2 linked regions of the Diceros bicornis minor genome follow. The protein of the gene in region 2 purifies or fractionates together with the protein of the main gene of each other region. This does not show direct contact. Links are inferred from orthologs where the notes say so. Each region holds a gene or a part of one and is shown on either strand. Other genes may lie near its edges.

Region 1 (7,744 bases), on a different chromosome or scaffold from region 2:
CTATAAAAATTAAACAGAGGATCAACCGAATCAGTGAGAGGCACTTACTCTTCAATTATCTAGACTTTGTGCCATCTTTCACATTTAATAATTTCTCACAAGTCATTGTATAAATACCATTCTTAAACAATTATGAAGTGAACAATCATCTACCATATCTGAAACGTTATCTGATTCTTTATTTTTTTTATTGTTTGGTGAACTTTTGCTAACAATTTTAACCATACTACATTTACTAACACTGAAAAGACACCATAAAAGAATACTTTGCCTCAAAAAAATCTTAAGAAATATGTAATAAAATCAAAAGTATGAATCAAAACAGGAAATAAATAGAAACACGTGCTACTAGGAGGAGGAGCTAAATTTCTCTTGGAGAAACTGTTAGTGGTCATCTCAATACTCAGTTGCTTCTGTCAGTGTATACAGAAATGCCCTGAGTTAGAACTAGCAAGAAAAACTAATGCTAGAAAAAATGGCCACAAGTTAAATCAGGATACAAATAAGAATGAAAAAGAGGCTGAATTCATAAAAGAAAAGGACAGTAAAAGAAGAGAATGGGAATGTTGGCAGCCGCCAGTAATTTGAGAGCTGAACAGGGTATGAAGGGAAAAAAAGCTTGATATATGAATAATGAAAAATAGTTAGGTTTCTGATGCTTATATCCGGAAATTTCTGGCAGAAAAAAGTCTTTATGGTTTTAAAATACACAAGCTAAGATGATGAAGACTAAATCAGAACACCATAAAGAGTATCACGGTTATCCTTTGAAGTAGAATGATAATCCTAATTCAACAATATTGAACTGCAAAAATTATGCTTTGTCCTACACAGAATTTTAAACAAAGATGAAGAACATAACTATTCATAATAAATTACCAACATGAGGAAAATGTATGACAGGCTAAATAAACCTAGATACAAAATTATGAACAAATTTCAACTAATACATGTATGATGATAACGAATAAATACTAGGAGAAAAAAATGAATAAAAGTTTAAAGAACTGCGATAGAATGTAGAATGGCAGGTAATTTTTGTGTCTTTTTATAAGTGTATTGGTGTTATATATTATTATAATTTTAAAAAGGAAATAAATTCAGTTATGAGTTGACTATAAAAAGATTTAGGAAATGTAAAATTAGAAGGCATTCAAAAGAAAATATGAATGATGAGAAAACTATAAAAATATAACTTAAAATTTTTATTGATTAAAGGTGTTAGAAACAATGCTGATTTATTTAAAACAATTAATCCATTCAAAAAGTTGTTTTATATGTACAAAAATTCATACAATTAATACTTTATAAAGAAAAGTGATCCCAAGTTCTTTTCTTCCCCAAAATGTTTAAAAGTAATCAAAATATATTAAGTTGTTCTTCCTCAGCAATAAAAATCAATAACAAAATTCCCAGGAAGGCAAGAAAGAAATTAGAACTCTCCAAATTTTGCATTTGAATGACATCTTTCCCAGGGGGCCTCAGAACTCAAATCTCAGAACCAAAGACAGGAGCAGCTGCCCAGTGCCAACTGCCAGGGAAAAGGCAAAGAGCAATCGTCACCACAGAGACCAAGGTAACTATACCAGTAACAGGCAAACGTGAACCTGAAATCGGGAAACTGGTAGCAATAATAACCTGCATTTCTGAAGACTCTGGTTGGGGAAAATGGAGTGGAGAAGAAAGGAGACAAACTTGAGCAATATTCCCAGAAGGAGTGTTAGCACCTTTGACAGAAACGACAGGTGTGAAGACACCCCGGGCAGAGGCTCTTCGCTTTGTTTGGGGTGTGTGTCACAGACTCCTTTGAGATCCTATAGACCCTCTCCAAAGAGCAAGTACCAGGCAATGTTTATTTCATTTCAGGAGCTCCACAACCCTGGGTTAAAAACCCCTGCCTAGGAGATAAGGAGACTGGCTGCCGGATATTCTCATGCACGCACTCCCTCCCTCTCATTCAACCAACCATCACCGAAGTCTAGACTTTAAGGCAAGGATCCCCTCTATCAAGCTAGCAGCTCTACCCTCAGCATCCAGCCCATAACAGGAGCTCAACAGATATTTGTTGAATGAATGCTTGTGCTGACAGGTGCTGTGCTGGGAACAGACAAGAACAGGTACGATGCTGTAAAACAGCAACCAACGTTTATTGAGTGCACACCATGTTCTGAAAGCTTTACGTGGATTTTCACATTTAATGTGTATTTGCACACTTAACCCTTTGAGGCGACCCCCATCAATACCTATCTTACAGATGAAGCACAAATAGGTTGGCAATTTGCCCTCCAGTCACTCGACAAGTAAGTGATGGAGCCCCAATTCTCACCCGGGGAATCTGATTCCAGAGCCAAGCTCTTGGGAGCTCCCAGTACAGTGGAGGCATCCGAAACGGTGAAGGGGGGAAAGGAGCCAAGTGTGACCTGGACTAAAGTAAAAAGAGGTAAGATGCCTTGGCAGATCCTTGCCAGTCCTCAGAGACGAGAAGCTGGAAAGCTTCCCAGGGAGGTGATGCTGACCCGAGTCATGAAGGAGAAGTAGGAGTTCGCGATCCAAGCAGGGAGTCGAGGAGTGACTGTTTTTTTTTGTTTTGTTTTGTTTTGTTTTAAGAGGAGCTGGACAGCTCTCGTCGGCCTTCACCAAGCGCCTGCTTCGTGTCCGGCCCCAGGCCAAGACCAGGCGGGCCCGGGCCCAGAGGTCCCGGGACTCGGGGTAATGAGGCGGCGGCAGGGAAGAGGCTGAGGGCGCCGGGGCCGCGCCGGGGTTCCTGCAGGCCTGGGACGGCTAGCCCGCTCGAGGACTGACCTTCCCGGAGGTGCCGTCCCCCAGCACGACGATTTTCAGTTGCCGGTCCTGGCTCTCCTCCTCAGAGTCCGACATGGTGTCCCGGGAAGCGGGCCCGCCTCCCCCTCCCCCCGAGGTAGAGGAAGAAAGGGAAGGAGGGGGGTCTCCGGGGGCGGAGGAGAGGAGGAAGGGCGGCAGTGGGGGCAGGACCCCCCGCCCCGGTGTCTCAGCGGCCACTGAAGGTACCAGGAGAGAATCACTCGCCCGGCGCCATCTTGCCCACCTCCCCGCCCCCTGCGCGCTGCGTTGGGCGCGCCCCCCGCCTTGGCGCCAACCCGCGCCGACCGCGAGTCTCCCCGTGGAGCCGGCCCATTCGTGGGCCTGGGATGGGGGAGGCGTTCGAGCCGAGCAGGCGAAGCGCCGCGCTACCCTCGCAGGGGCAGTTGGCGAAAGGAAAGCTGGAAGTGTATCCTTCAAACTAGGTGGAAAAATCGGAGCAGACGTTCTATCAAATTCCCTTGTTTCCCTCTCGCCCTGCGAAGGTCCCTGAGGCGAATGGTTTAGCCCGATGCGGATTGAGGGAGGAATGACGCCTGGGCTACGCGCCGCGGTTGCCATGGAAGCCGGGAGTTGGAGGAGAGGCGCGGGGGCCCGTTTCCTGGCTCCCCAGACGCTGGTTGCTGGTTGCCAGGCGTAGCGCGCAGGGAAGGGGTCCCTGGAGCTGGCGTGGGCGCCGGGGGTCGCGCTCAGGGAGGAGCGGCGGCGCGGCTGAGGGTGGCGGTTGCTAAGGACCGCGCTGCCAGGTGGGGAAGCTGTAGAGGCCGCCGTGAGTGGGGTGGAACTGTGGCGCTGCCTCTTATTTTAGCCTCTCTGGAGTTTCCTCGTATGAGACACAGAATCCCTTGATTCATTCATCAACCGCATACCCTGGAGCAGTAGTTCTCAAAGTGTGGTCCGGGGAACCCTCGGTGGTCCTGGTGAAGTCAAAACTATTTTCATAATACAAAGACCTTTTTTTTCTTTTCCTTTTTTTTTTTTTTTTGTCTTTTCCACGTTCATTTTCTCACAAGTACACAGAAACGTTTTCCAGAGGATGCATGATGTGTATGACATCATCACTCTGGCAGCTGAGGGAGCATGTGCCTTTTATTCTGTTTCAAACATTTCTCAGTATTAATTTCAGTGCAGTAATGATCGCTATAACTCACATAAACCAAAGCTCTTTGGGGTCCACAATAATTCTTTTTTTTTTTCTGTGAGGAAGATCGGCCCTGAGCTGACATCTGCCAATCCTCCTCTTTTTGCTGAGGAAGACTGGCCCTGAGCTAACATCCATGCCCATCTTCCTCTACTTTATATGTGACACCGCCACAGCATGGCCTGACGAACCGTGTGTCCGTGCGCACCTGGGATCCGGACTGGCAAACCGCAGGCCGCTGCAGCACAGCGCACGCACTTAACTGCTTGTGCCACCAGGCCAGCCCCCTACAATGATTCTTAAGAGTGTAGAGGGGCCCCTGAGTTCAAAACGTTTGAGAACTGCTGTCGTGGATGATCTCAGTCCAGTAGGGTGGGTAAAAGACATAACTGAAAATTTCAATATAGTGAGACAAATTCTACAGTAATAATGCCAGCCTACTATGTTTGTCTCATTGTTAATTACTGTACATGGATGATCAGTTCACTCCTTATGGGAACCCCATAACATGGGTAGAATTATCCCCGTTTACAGATGAGAAAGCTTAAGTCACAAAAGCTTAGCTCAGAGGCAGTAGTCCACGGGAAATGGAAAGCAGTACAGTGTAAAGAAGTGCCCAGCCCCGGAGATAGCACTGGAGTTCTAATCACAGGTCTGCACTTACTTGATGTGTGACCTCATGCCACAGTTTCCTCATCTATAAAATAGAGGTACTACTTCCTTCATAGGGTTGAGAATTAAGTAATCAATGTAAAGTAACATAGAACAATACTTGACATATAGTAAGCTCAGTATGAACCAGTGTAATTATCACGCTCATCGTCATTATTAAATATGGTCCATGTTGGAGCATCACTGCTTTCTAGCCATGTTACCTTAGACAAGTTTCTTATGTAGAGCCTCAGACTCTTCATCTGTAAATAGGACTGGTTCACAATAGTACCTACTCAGGTAGTATTAGCTCCCAGTTTTCTCTCCCTACTACTGACAACAACAACTTTCTACATAACTGGCTGAGTTAATGAGAATTAGAAGAAAAAGAATATGTGAAAGGGCTTTGCAAAGTTCTTTGTAACTGTTATTTTGAAGAATCCCTTTCTAATGAGGACAGACTTAACCCCTTCTTGTCCACGAGGGGAGTTAATATGGCAGAAATTTGCTTTTCCACTCTTCCTGAATGGAGATGGTTATATGACCCAGTTCTGACCAATGAGACAGAAGAGGATGTCCTTTGAGAGACATCTGGGAAAGATTTTCCTCTTTGATTAAAAAAAAAAGAAAGAAAGAAAAAGATAGATGCAGAAGGAAAGATCTCCCCCTCCCTTCCTTTGCTGTCCATATTTGGATAAGGGCATAATATTTGGAACTGCTACAACCTTCTTCAGCCCACCATCCAGGCTTCTTGTTATGGGAAATAATGCTAAGGCATTTTAGTGATATATTTCATTACTTGCACCAAAACATATTCCATTATTTGCACAAACACATCCCACTGGCACAACTACTTTGGCCAAAAACTAGATTTAGCTAAGGTCATAGGACAGATTTTCATGTATGTTTTCATATGAAGGGAAATCTAGAAGAAAACTTTGCAGTTTCCAATCATCATGCTTTGATGGAGAGACACTATTTATTTGGATCTTGATTCGTTCCTAGGATAGTGTTGCTATATGAAACAAAAAGTCAATTGTGTTATTTCAGTGACCATATTTTATACACCTATGGAAAGATTCCAGGTTGAAAATTAGATTTGAAGAGTTGGAGCCATATTTATAAATTAAAAAGAAAAAAATATTCTTATTGTATGGAGGACCATGCACTAAATGCTTCTATTTACTATTCTAAACAGAAGTACAGCTGATCCACAGAAAAGAAAAATGTCTCTGTGGAGCCTCTGTAAAATGTCCACAACAGGCTGATAAACTAGAGGAATCTTTTTCAGTGGCCTTAAAACTAGTAAATTAACAAAATGCTTAGAGAAGAATTCTAGAAATTTCAAGAAAATAGGGTTCTTTAGATATGAAGTAAAAGTTGTTACACAAGATAAACCTGACTGCTATCTATAAAACCACCTTCCCACCTAATTTTAAAACACCTTTTCTAGCATTCCTAACAGATGATAATCCAAACTTTATTGGAATAGATCCAGATTCAAAAAGCTTATTCTCTCATGAAGCAAGCTGGACTCTGGACAGATAGGCCTGGTTATTAGAATATTCTTCCTGAGATAAACTGAAGTCTTTGACTATAAATTCCAACTAATGGTATTCTGTATGTCTTCTGGAGTAAAACAGAACTTCCTCGTTCTAAAGGAATGTCTTCAAATTGATTCATTATAAATAATGATTGATTTGACAAATATTAAGTGAATGCCTACTGTGTGCCAGGCATTCTTGCTCAAAAATCTTCTAAACAATGAGGACGAACAAGTGACCAAAACACACAAGGGCTCTGCTCCCATGGAACTTGCAATTTGGAGAGGTGTAATAGATGAAATAATGACCACTCCAAAGATATCAGGTCCCAATCCCTGGAAGCTGTAAATGTCACCTTATTTGCAAAAAGCATCTTTCAGCTGTGATTAAATTAAGGATTTTGAGGTGGAGAGATTATCCTGGATTATCAAGGTGGGCCCTAAATGCAATCACATCTTATAAGAGAGAGGCAGAGGAAGATTTGACCCAGACAGAAAAAGAGAAAGCAGTGTGACCACAGAGGCAGAGGCTGGAGTGATGCAGCCACAAGCCAAGGGATGCTGGCAGTCACCGAAAGCTGGAAGAGGCAAGGAACAAATTCTCCCCCTGTAGCCTCCAAGAGAATGCAGCCCTGTCAACACCTTGACTTCAGTCCAGTGAATGCTGATTTAGGACTTCTGGCATCCAAAACTGTGAGAGAATAAATTTATGTTGTTTTAAGCCACCATGTTTGTGGTTATGTTACAACGGCCACAGGAAACTAATACAAGGAGAAGAGTAGAAATTTCATGTCAACAGGAAAATTTCAGATTCAGGTAAAAAAAGATAGTAAAACAGCTGATGGATAGGATAAAGAGTAAAAGCATCTGAACATTTTTATTCATCACTAATGAAGGTGAGAAAATAGTAAGTGAATCAGAGAGTAAACTGATTTCAGAAACCACCAATCTCTGCCATCTTCTTAACAAATCCAATAGTCACCCATCATTTTCCCTTCATCTTTTTGCAATATTTCATAATTCTGAAGATGCAGAGCTTAGGACTGATGTCCAAGTGAACATGGAAAGAAAAACATAAAATATTGTGGAGTAAGGCAAAATAATGGCCATGCTCCCAGCTTGTGCACTTGTTATTACTGTATTTCTGCTGAAAAATCTGAGAAAAATATGTAAATGATCCCCAGAATTTAGTGGTGTATTAAGCTCCTAAAGGACAAAAAATCAGTAAATAAGTCTCTATCCCTGAAATTTTCTTCTCCCTTGGTTATAGGTATATATCCATATAAACACACGTGTGTGGTGTGTGTGTGTGCATGCAACCACCACCTAGATCAAGATATACAATTCAGAATCTCAGCAGGCTCCCTTGTGCCATCTTTCAGGCATCACCTCCTCAAAGGTAACTACTATTCTGACCTCTAGCACTATAAATTAGTATTACCTGTTTTTGAGCTTCATATAAATAGGCTTCATACAGTACGTACTCTTTGGTATCTGGCTCCTTTCACTAAATATTATGTCTATGAGAGTCATCCATGTTGTTATGTGTAGCAATAGCTTTCATTGCTGCA
Region 2 (7,638 bases):
ATATTGGGGCAGCGGGACAAAATGAAGGAGAACTGGTATAGCAGATTTAAACAGAGAACAATTCAAAGAAGGATAGTTTGGTGCAAGACTAAGTTTTCCAGTGGAGGCAGACACACAGCCCAGCAGCCCTTTTACAGTATTAGAGAAACAAGTACGTCGCCTCACTGAGGGTTACCTAAGACGGTCTTATCGGAATCAGGAAAAGTGAAGGGCTAGGGCATCAAGGTTGCTGAGGAGGGAAGGGGAAAGAGGAGAGAGAAGGGGAGACGGTGAAAGGGAAAAGGAGGGGAGGTGATGGTTAGTAGAGGAGGACCGAAAACCTCTCTTCCAAGTGGACACGTGTGAAGAGACTAAATGCAAGGGCCTGGGGGTGGGGAGGGAGTAGACAAATGGACAGAAACTTCGGTCCGTCAAAATAATCTCGGTCTATGGAGCAAAGCCCGTGAGGGCAAAAGTAAAGAGGCGCTGATAGTCGCTTTCTTCTGGAGTGGGAGGGCCCGAGAAGGCTAGGGCCACAGAGGAGATGGAGTCCCGTCCTGGGGAGGGCGCTATTCTGATAAACGGCAGAGTAGCAAAGAGGCAGCCCTCGGGGGTCGGGAAGAGAGAGCAGCCGCGGTGCGGGAGCTGAGGGTCGCCAGCTGGGGTGGACTCCAGGGCGGGCGGCGTGCTCCCAGCAGGGCCGCGGGGGCGGGGTGAGGACCGCGGGGCGCGCTCCCCCGGGCGGGGGCGGGGCGGTGTGGCCGCGGGCTTTCCCGGCGGCAGGCGCGCAGCCGGACGGCCCGAAGGAGGCTGGCGCGCCGGGCCCCGCCCGCTGGCCGGCCCCTACCTGTCCTCAGCGCCTCTCCGTCCTCTGGGTCGCTGGCTCAGCCTCCCGGCGCCTGCCCGCAGGTTGTCAAGCGTCCATGATCGGCCCGGCGTCCGACGCTTTTCTGCCTCCGCCGACCCGTTGCCCTTGCGGCTCCCCCGGAAGCCTCCCTCCGCTGCACTCGAGTTCCGCCCACACTAGGTTCCCCCACCGCGTTCGCAGACTCAGGCCTCCAGTGAGGCCGGGACCGGGCATAGAGGGTCCGAGCACGGCGTATAATCCAGGAGCTCGGTGGGGAGGGGCCGAGGAGACGATGCAGCCTAGGCAGTGCTGGGGCCCAAACCATCGGCATCCTGGGCCTGAAATCCACTCCTTTGGCCGAGCTTTACCTCTAGGAGGTCCCTATGGCGACTGCCGCTACCCTGGGGTCCAGGGACATATTAAGTCTACTAACAACTACCGTTTATTGAGCGTTTTTCCATGCGACAGGTGCTGTACGTATTCTCGTCGAATTCTCATAATGTCTATGGCCTAAAATATTATTCCCATTTTTCAGGCGAGTTAACTAAACCTAAAGATCCAAAAGGCAGTAAGTGGCAAAGTCCGATGTGGAACCCAGGCCCTCTGAAGCCAAAGACCATGTTCTTCCCTCTATTTAGAAAGTGTTTTATAATAAGCAAGAGATGGGTTGAGCCAACAATGGTTCTGTGACAAAAATGACATTCGTGGCGTTGCATTTGGTAAGTACCGACTCCCCTGGAAGGTGGCTGAGAAATGCTACATATCTGAACGCTTAAGCTGATTTCTCTAAAGTATGCACCACAGACTTTCAGGTCTTGAAGAGAGGAAAAGAACCTTATTTGCCTTTTGTGCATTAGAGTGCAGAAATCAGACAGACAGATGCAAAGGAGCCTAGGATCAACCCACTCATTTATTCAAAAAATTTCTCTAGCACCTGTTATGTTCTACAAGTTTATATGAAGAGAAGACAAGGTTCTTGCCCTCAAAAAGCTTCAATGTGTTAAGTGCTATGAGAGAGATATGACAACGCTTTGGAAACACAGAAGAGAATATTGGGGAAGAGAAAACAGGCATCTTTCAGGCGAAAAGGGGAAGAAAAGGGGGACAGTGACCACAATCACAGAGGCTTGCGCTGTGCAGCATATACTGATGCTGAATAGAAACTCAGAGTGGCTGGAACCCAGGGTTCAGGGGTGAGAAATGAGGGCTACAGAGCTGGAGTCAGGTCATCAAGGGTCTTGGAAACCACATGCAAGGCACTATACCCAGTAAAAACCTAAATACAGTGAAGTTCCCACCTGGGAGAGCTCACAGCCCCCTGGAAGAGACAGACCTGTCCAGTTATGACAGACAGTAGCCACAGGCACCCTAGGGGTACAGACAAGGCTCTCCTGACTGTGCCCTGGGGAGAGATGATTTAAGGCAGACTTCTGGAGGAGATGAGGCTTGAGTTGAGCCCGGAAGAATGAGCAAGCAAATCATAAATGGCCTAAGCCACGTAAAGGAGTTTTTATTTCATCTTAAGGGCACTAGGGAACAATTTAGGGTTTTTAAGCTGTGGAGAGGTAAGAATAATTGCCATTTTAGAATAACCACACTAGCTGCTATAGGAATGGATTGGGTGTGGAGAGAAGTAGAGGCAGGGAACCCCGTGAGGTGAATGATATATTCCAGATAAGAGATTGTGAGTTCTTGAACAAAGGTAGTGGCAGTTGGGCATGAAAAAGCAGGGACACTGTTGGAGACATTTAGACTGTAGAATCTATCAGACTTGGTGACCAGTTGAATGCAGGAATAGGGAAGGAGGATATCACCAAGGAATCTGGCTGGGGTGGCCAGGCTGTCTGGAGGTGGTGTTAAGTGAACAGGGCTGCGGAGGAGAAGGGGCAAAGTTGATGGTGGAAGGAAGACAACTAAGTTCTGTTTGAGTTCATAAATATTCCAGCAGAGCCTCCACTTTCTCCAGAATAATGTCCAGACTCCAAGGCTGCAGTTAAAGCCCTTCTCAGTATGCCTCCCTCCTACCCTTCCAGCTTTGTCTCGCTTCACCCTCTTTACGGCCCAAACTCCAGGCCTCCCCATGCCCAACACAACTTACACGTTCCCTCTCTGACCCCAGGGTCTATGGGTCAAGTTTGCTCCCTCTTCTTTTCTGCAGTGCTCTTCCCTCATATTTGCCTGTTAAAATCCAACCAACCCTGTACCCAAAGGTTTCTTAAACTCGATGCAAAAAGCACTAATCATAAAACACTGAACTATTGCACTACATTAAAATTAAGGATTTCTGTTTATCAAAAGACACCAGTACGAGACTGAAAAGATAAGCCACAGACTTGGAAAAGATATTTGCAAATCATGTATCAGACAAAGAACTCCATATCCAGACTATACAAAGAACTACAAATCAGTAAGAAGACAAACAGCGCAATTTAAAAAGTGGGCAAAAGACTTGAACAAGCACTTCACAGAAGAGGATGTTCATATAAGCATATGGAAAGGTGCTCAACACCAGACAATGTAAATAAAAACTATAATGAGATACCACATTTAGCCAAAATGGCTAAAATTAAAAAGACTGACAACACCCAGTATTGACAAAGATAAGAGTCAACCAGAACTCTCTTACACTGCTGGTGGAGGTGAAAATTGGTACAAACATTTTGGAAAACTGGCAATATCTACTATTGCTGATCATATGCACACCGTACAAGCCAGCAACTCCTCTCCTAGAAATGAGTCCACAAGAAGGAACATATAAGAAGCTCATTGCAGCTTTATTAATAAAAGCCAAAAATTGATAACTGATTACCTAAATGCCCATCAACAGTAGAATAGATCAACAGTGCTATATACAGACAATGGAATACTACTCACGAATTTAAAGAAAAACAAGCTACTGCTACATACAACATGGATGAATTTCACAAAAATATTGATGAATGAAAAAAGCCAGACATACTGTACATATTGTATGATTACATTTAAATGAAATTCAAGAACAGACAAAACTGATGTATGGTAACAGAAGTCAGAAGAATGGTTACTGGGATGGGACGATGAAGTACTGATTGGAAAGGGGCACAAGGGGTGCTGGAAATATTCTATATCTTGATTTGGGGGGTGGTGACACAGGTGTATACATATGCAAAAATTGTGCCCTTACTGTATGTGTTATACCTTATTAACAAAAAAATATAAAGATGGGGCTGGCCCGGTGGCACAGCGGTTAAGTGCATGCACTCCGCTTTGGTGGCCCGGGGTTCGCAGGTTCGGATCTGGGGTGCACAACGACGCACCACTTGTCAAGCCATGCTGTGGCAGTATCCCATATAAAGCAGAGGAAAATGGGCATGGATGGTAGCCCAGGGCCTATCTTCCTCAGCAAAAAAGAGGAGGATTGGCATCGGGATGTTAGCTCAGGGCTAGTCTTCCTCACACACACACAAAAAAATGTAAAGATAAAATTTTTTAACATAGAAAAAAAATCCTGTGCATCCTTCAAGTTCAAATGCGACCTCCTCCATCAATAAATGGAATACATCTCTCCATCAGAGCCTCTATAGCATTCTGACGTCCTTTCTTTTATGCCATTTATCACAGTCCACCTTGAATCTCAGTGGAGTCTCCTTATTTCACTAACTAGATGGTTATCTTCCTGGTGGCAATGACCATGCCTTTCAGCTTTTATAGAAAGCCTGGCAAATAACAAAAGCTGAAAAAGCTGTTTGTGGAATTACATGGAAGGAAAAATTGGGTGAGTGCCCAGATGGGTGAGAGAGGGACAGGAAGAGGAAGGAAAGCCTAGGAAAACAGACAGGAGATCTTCCAGGAAACTTGAGCTTACACTACAATTTTACCCAGTTCCTGAAATCACGTTAAATGTCACGTTGAGCAACAAACAAACAAAGAACAAAGCAAAACACCAAGTCCTACCTAGACTGAAGATAAACATCACACTCCTTCATTTGGAGGAAATCCACCAAATAAATGCTTACCTAACCTCTGGGTGTTTCAACCCCGATGGGGAAACTTCACCAGGGAGAAGAATAACCACATAGCCATGCTGCTAAAAATATCGCCACCCTAGTGTGGTGCAAAGAGCCCAGAGAGTGTCAGGAAACTTAGGGCCGAATTCTAACTCTGCCCCAACTTGCTGTGACCCGTGGACAATCTCCTTGCCTCTCTGGGTCTCAGTTTCCTCATATGTAAAACAACAGGGGTTGGATTAGCAAATTCTCTAAAGTCCCTTCCTATACTGATATTCTGAGTACACTATCGATATCTCTCCCGGTCCAACGCAGGAGCACACCAGAAACCCCTGCAAAAAACGTAAAAGGCGCTCCAGACCAACAAACAAGCAAGGTTTGAAGGAGTCATTTTATCTTATTATCTCTCATGGTTTAATCAGTGTTTCTGTTTGTTGTTTGCAGCCTTACCATGATTTGCAGGAGATTTCTGAGTTCCATGTAAACAAAAGTTACCTCTCTGTGGGCTGTCATCTTCTTTTGAGGGTGAAGAGGGTCTTGCCGCCTGGTTTCAAGTCTCCGGATTCAGAAACTACCAAACCTGAGGCACGGTTTATGAATTTGCGCACACTGCGCGGCACACTGGAGTCCAAGTTACAGAGGAATAGAGTGCAGGGAATGCTGGGATTTGTAGTCCCTGGGCCTCTTTGTTGCTTGCTGGGATCTGTGGTCCCCTGGGATTCTGGGAAATGTAGTCTCCGCCACATCTCACGGTGCAACCCGCTGTCATCTCAGAGCCCTTGTGTGCCCAGCAGCGGGAGCAGGCCCCTCGAGCCTCTGCAGATCTAAAATCCTCCACTGGGGAAAACTCTAGGCAACAGCACCGAATGAAAAAAAAAAAAAAAAAATTTGTCCTACGGGACTTCCCCGGGAGGGCCCTTCCCATTGACGCTCATCGTCCCCCCTTGAAGCCGCTGAGTGTTTCCATTGGCTGATCAGGATGCCAATCGCCGAGGCGGGCTTTCCATTGGCTTCGGGGCGGGCGCTCCGAGGCTAGAGGGAAGGAGAAGGAATCAGGAGCGGGAGCTGAGGGGAGAGAGAGGCCGGTCCGGGTCTGGCCGCTGCCGCTGCTCGCCGGAGGTCTCCAGGCCCGGCTGCAGCTCAGTCCTCGGCTCCTGGTCACCGTCTACGAGGCTCCTCCGGGCCAGCGTGGGAGAGCCGCGGGCGGCGGTCGCCGCATCATGTCAGCCAAGGACGACCGGGCCAGGGAGATCCTGAGGGGCTTCAAACTGTATCCGCCTGGGAGCGGGGCGGGGCCGGGAGGACTTGGGAGGCGGCCGCTGGCTGAGGAGACAGGCCGGGGGCGGGGGCCGCGCCAGGTGGGCGCCCGAGGAGAGGGCGGCGGGAGGAGATGGCAGGAGCGGCGTCCCGGGCCCCCGGCGGGACCGGCTCTGGAGGTGGGGAAAGGGGCGTCCTGAGGGAGGAAGGGGTCGTTGACGGGAGCGCCGGGGGGTGCAGGCGGAGGAGCCCCAGAATCGGTCGGGGAGAGGCGCCGGGCGTGGGAAACGGGTGGCAGGGAGGCCAGCTGGCGTCCGAACTCCGGCCCGCACCCAGAAGCCGGGAAGGGGCTGCGGCCCACGGGGAAGGGCCGAGGGGGCGCGGTGGGCTGGCCTCGAAGCCCAGCAGCCTCTTGGGCGGGAAGCCCCCGGCGGGAGCAGGGAAAAGTGACTTGGAGCGAATGACCTTGTGTGGGACAAGTGCAAATGCTTGTGTTAAACTCTCTCGGGTGCCCGCATCCCATACCACCCCCCACCCCACCCCCGCCGTGTTTCTGCAACTTCTCTTCCTCACTTGTGGCTCCTTCCAGGGCTGGAGCAGAGCAAGGTGGGGAGAGAGAAGTCCGAGATCTAACTCTGCCTTGGCCTTTTGAGGCATTGGACGGTCACTTCTTCTCCCCTCAGATCCTCAGTTTTCTTTCCACCAAATGAGGACCCTAAACTTGTGGCTGAGATGCCTTGAGGTGTCTTGGTTTTGCCCTGGGACTCCTGGCAAAGGGATCTTGGCGTGCTCACATGTGTGGTTAACGCATAGACATGGGGGAGCTGTCCAGCAATTATTTGATTACATTGGGGACATGGTAGGATATAGTAGCATATAGAAATCATTGCCTCAGGCCTGTGTGGTGCCTCTTGTGCAACCCTCTTAATGTAGTGAGGAAGCTTTGTGTTTTAATGGAGTGTTAATCTGTAACGGTATGATGAGGATGAAAAAAATGTAATCTTATACATTCCAATTTTACATTTTCTTGCCGACCTTAATCTCTTCTTACATGCTCTGCCTACAATATGGAACATTCTTCAGTTCCTCTCTCAATGAAAATGTAGTCGTCACTTTAGGGCTCCTCCCCTGGAGGTTTAGTAAAGCACTGTTCTCTGAGCTCCTGTGTGTGTTCACAATGCCCATTTCACCCCTGCACATTTTCATTGCTTTGTCATAATCAGACACCAAGTTGTAGTCAGTTTTAGAACACAACAGGCAAAAAAGTTCCAGGAAGTTTGGGACGTACAAATGAAATTTTTCAAATGGAAGCTGACCTGCTATGCTTTTTTTTTTTTTTTAAAGGAAGACTATCACCTTTGTGTACTGCCGTTCATGGTAAACTTTTAGTACTTTTATGCAGTGAAGTTTAGTGACAGCCTCTTTTATAGCTCCCTGTACCTTTCTGTGTTTCTCTTCATAATGGGTCTATAAGCAAATAGGGATGGCTGAAGTGTGAGAAAAGCTGTGACATGGATTTTATTTTTCCCTTAAGTAATTTATATTGTTACTTAACATGTATGCTGTGGA

The links.
Region 1: the proteins of PDE6D (region 2) and RAB28 purify together in Homo sapiens (affinity purification with mass spectrometry; 3 studies listed by BioGRID and IntAct, with this or other methods). This does not show direct contact. The link is inferred for Diceros bicornis minor from reciprocal best matches to the Homo sapiens genes PDE6D and RAB28.

What each region holds. Positions count from the first base shown.
Region 1 is NC_080747.1:10,318,325-10,326,068, forward strand, and holds the start of RAB28 (ras-related protein Rab-28), read right to left. Parts: upstream 3,046-7,744; 5' UTR 2,878-3,045; coding exon 2,803-2,877; intron 2,661-2,802; exon of another isoform or gene 2,526-2,660; coding exon of another isoform or gene 2,517-2,525; intron 1-2,516.
Region 2 is NC_080776.1:20,151,191-20,158,828, reverse strand, and holds the start of PDE6D (retinal rod rhodopsin-sensitive cGMP 3',5'-cyclic phosphodiesterase subunit delta), read left to right. Parts: upstream 1-4,592; coding exon 4,593-4,596; intron 4,597-5,307; exon of another isoform or gene 5,308-5,434; intron 5,435-5,790; coding exon 5,791-6,082; intron 6,083-7,638. UniProt on the Homo sapiens protein: Promotes the release of prenylated target proteins from cellular membranes. Modulates the activity of prenylated or palmitoylated Ras family members by regulating their subcellular location.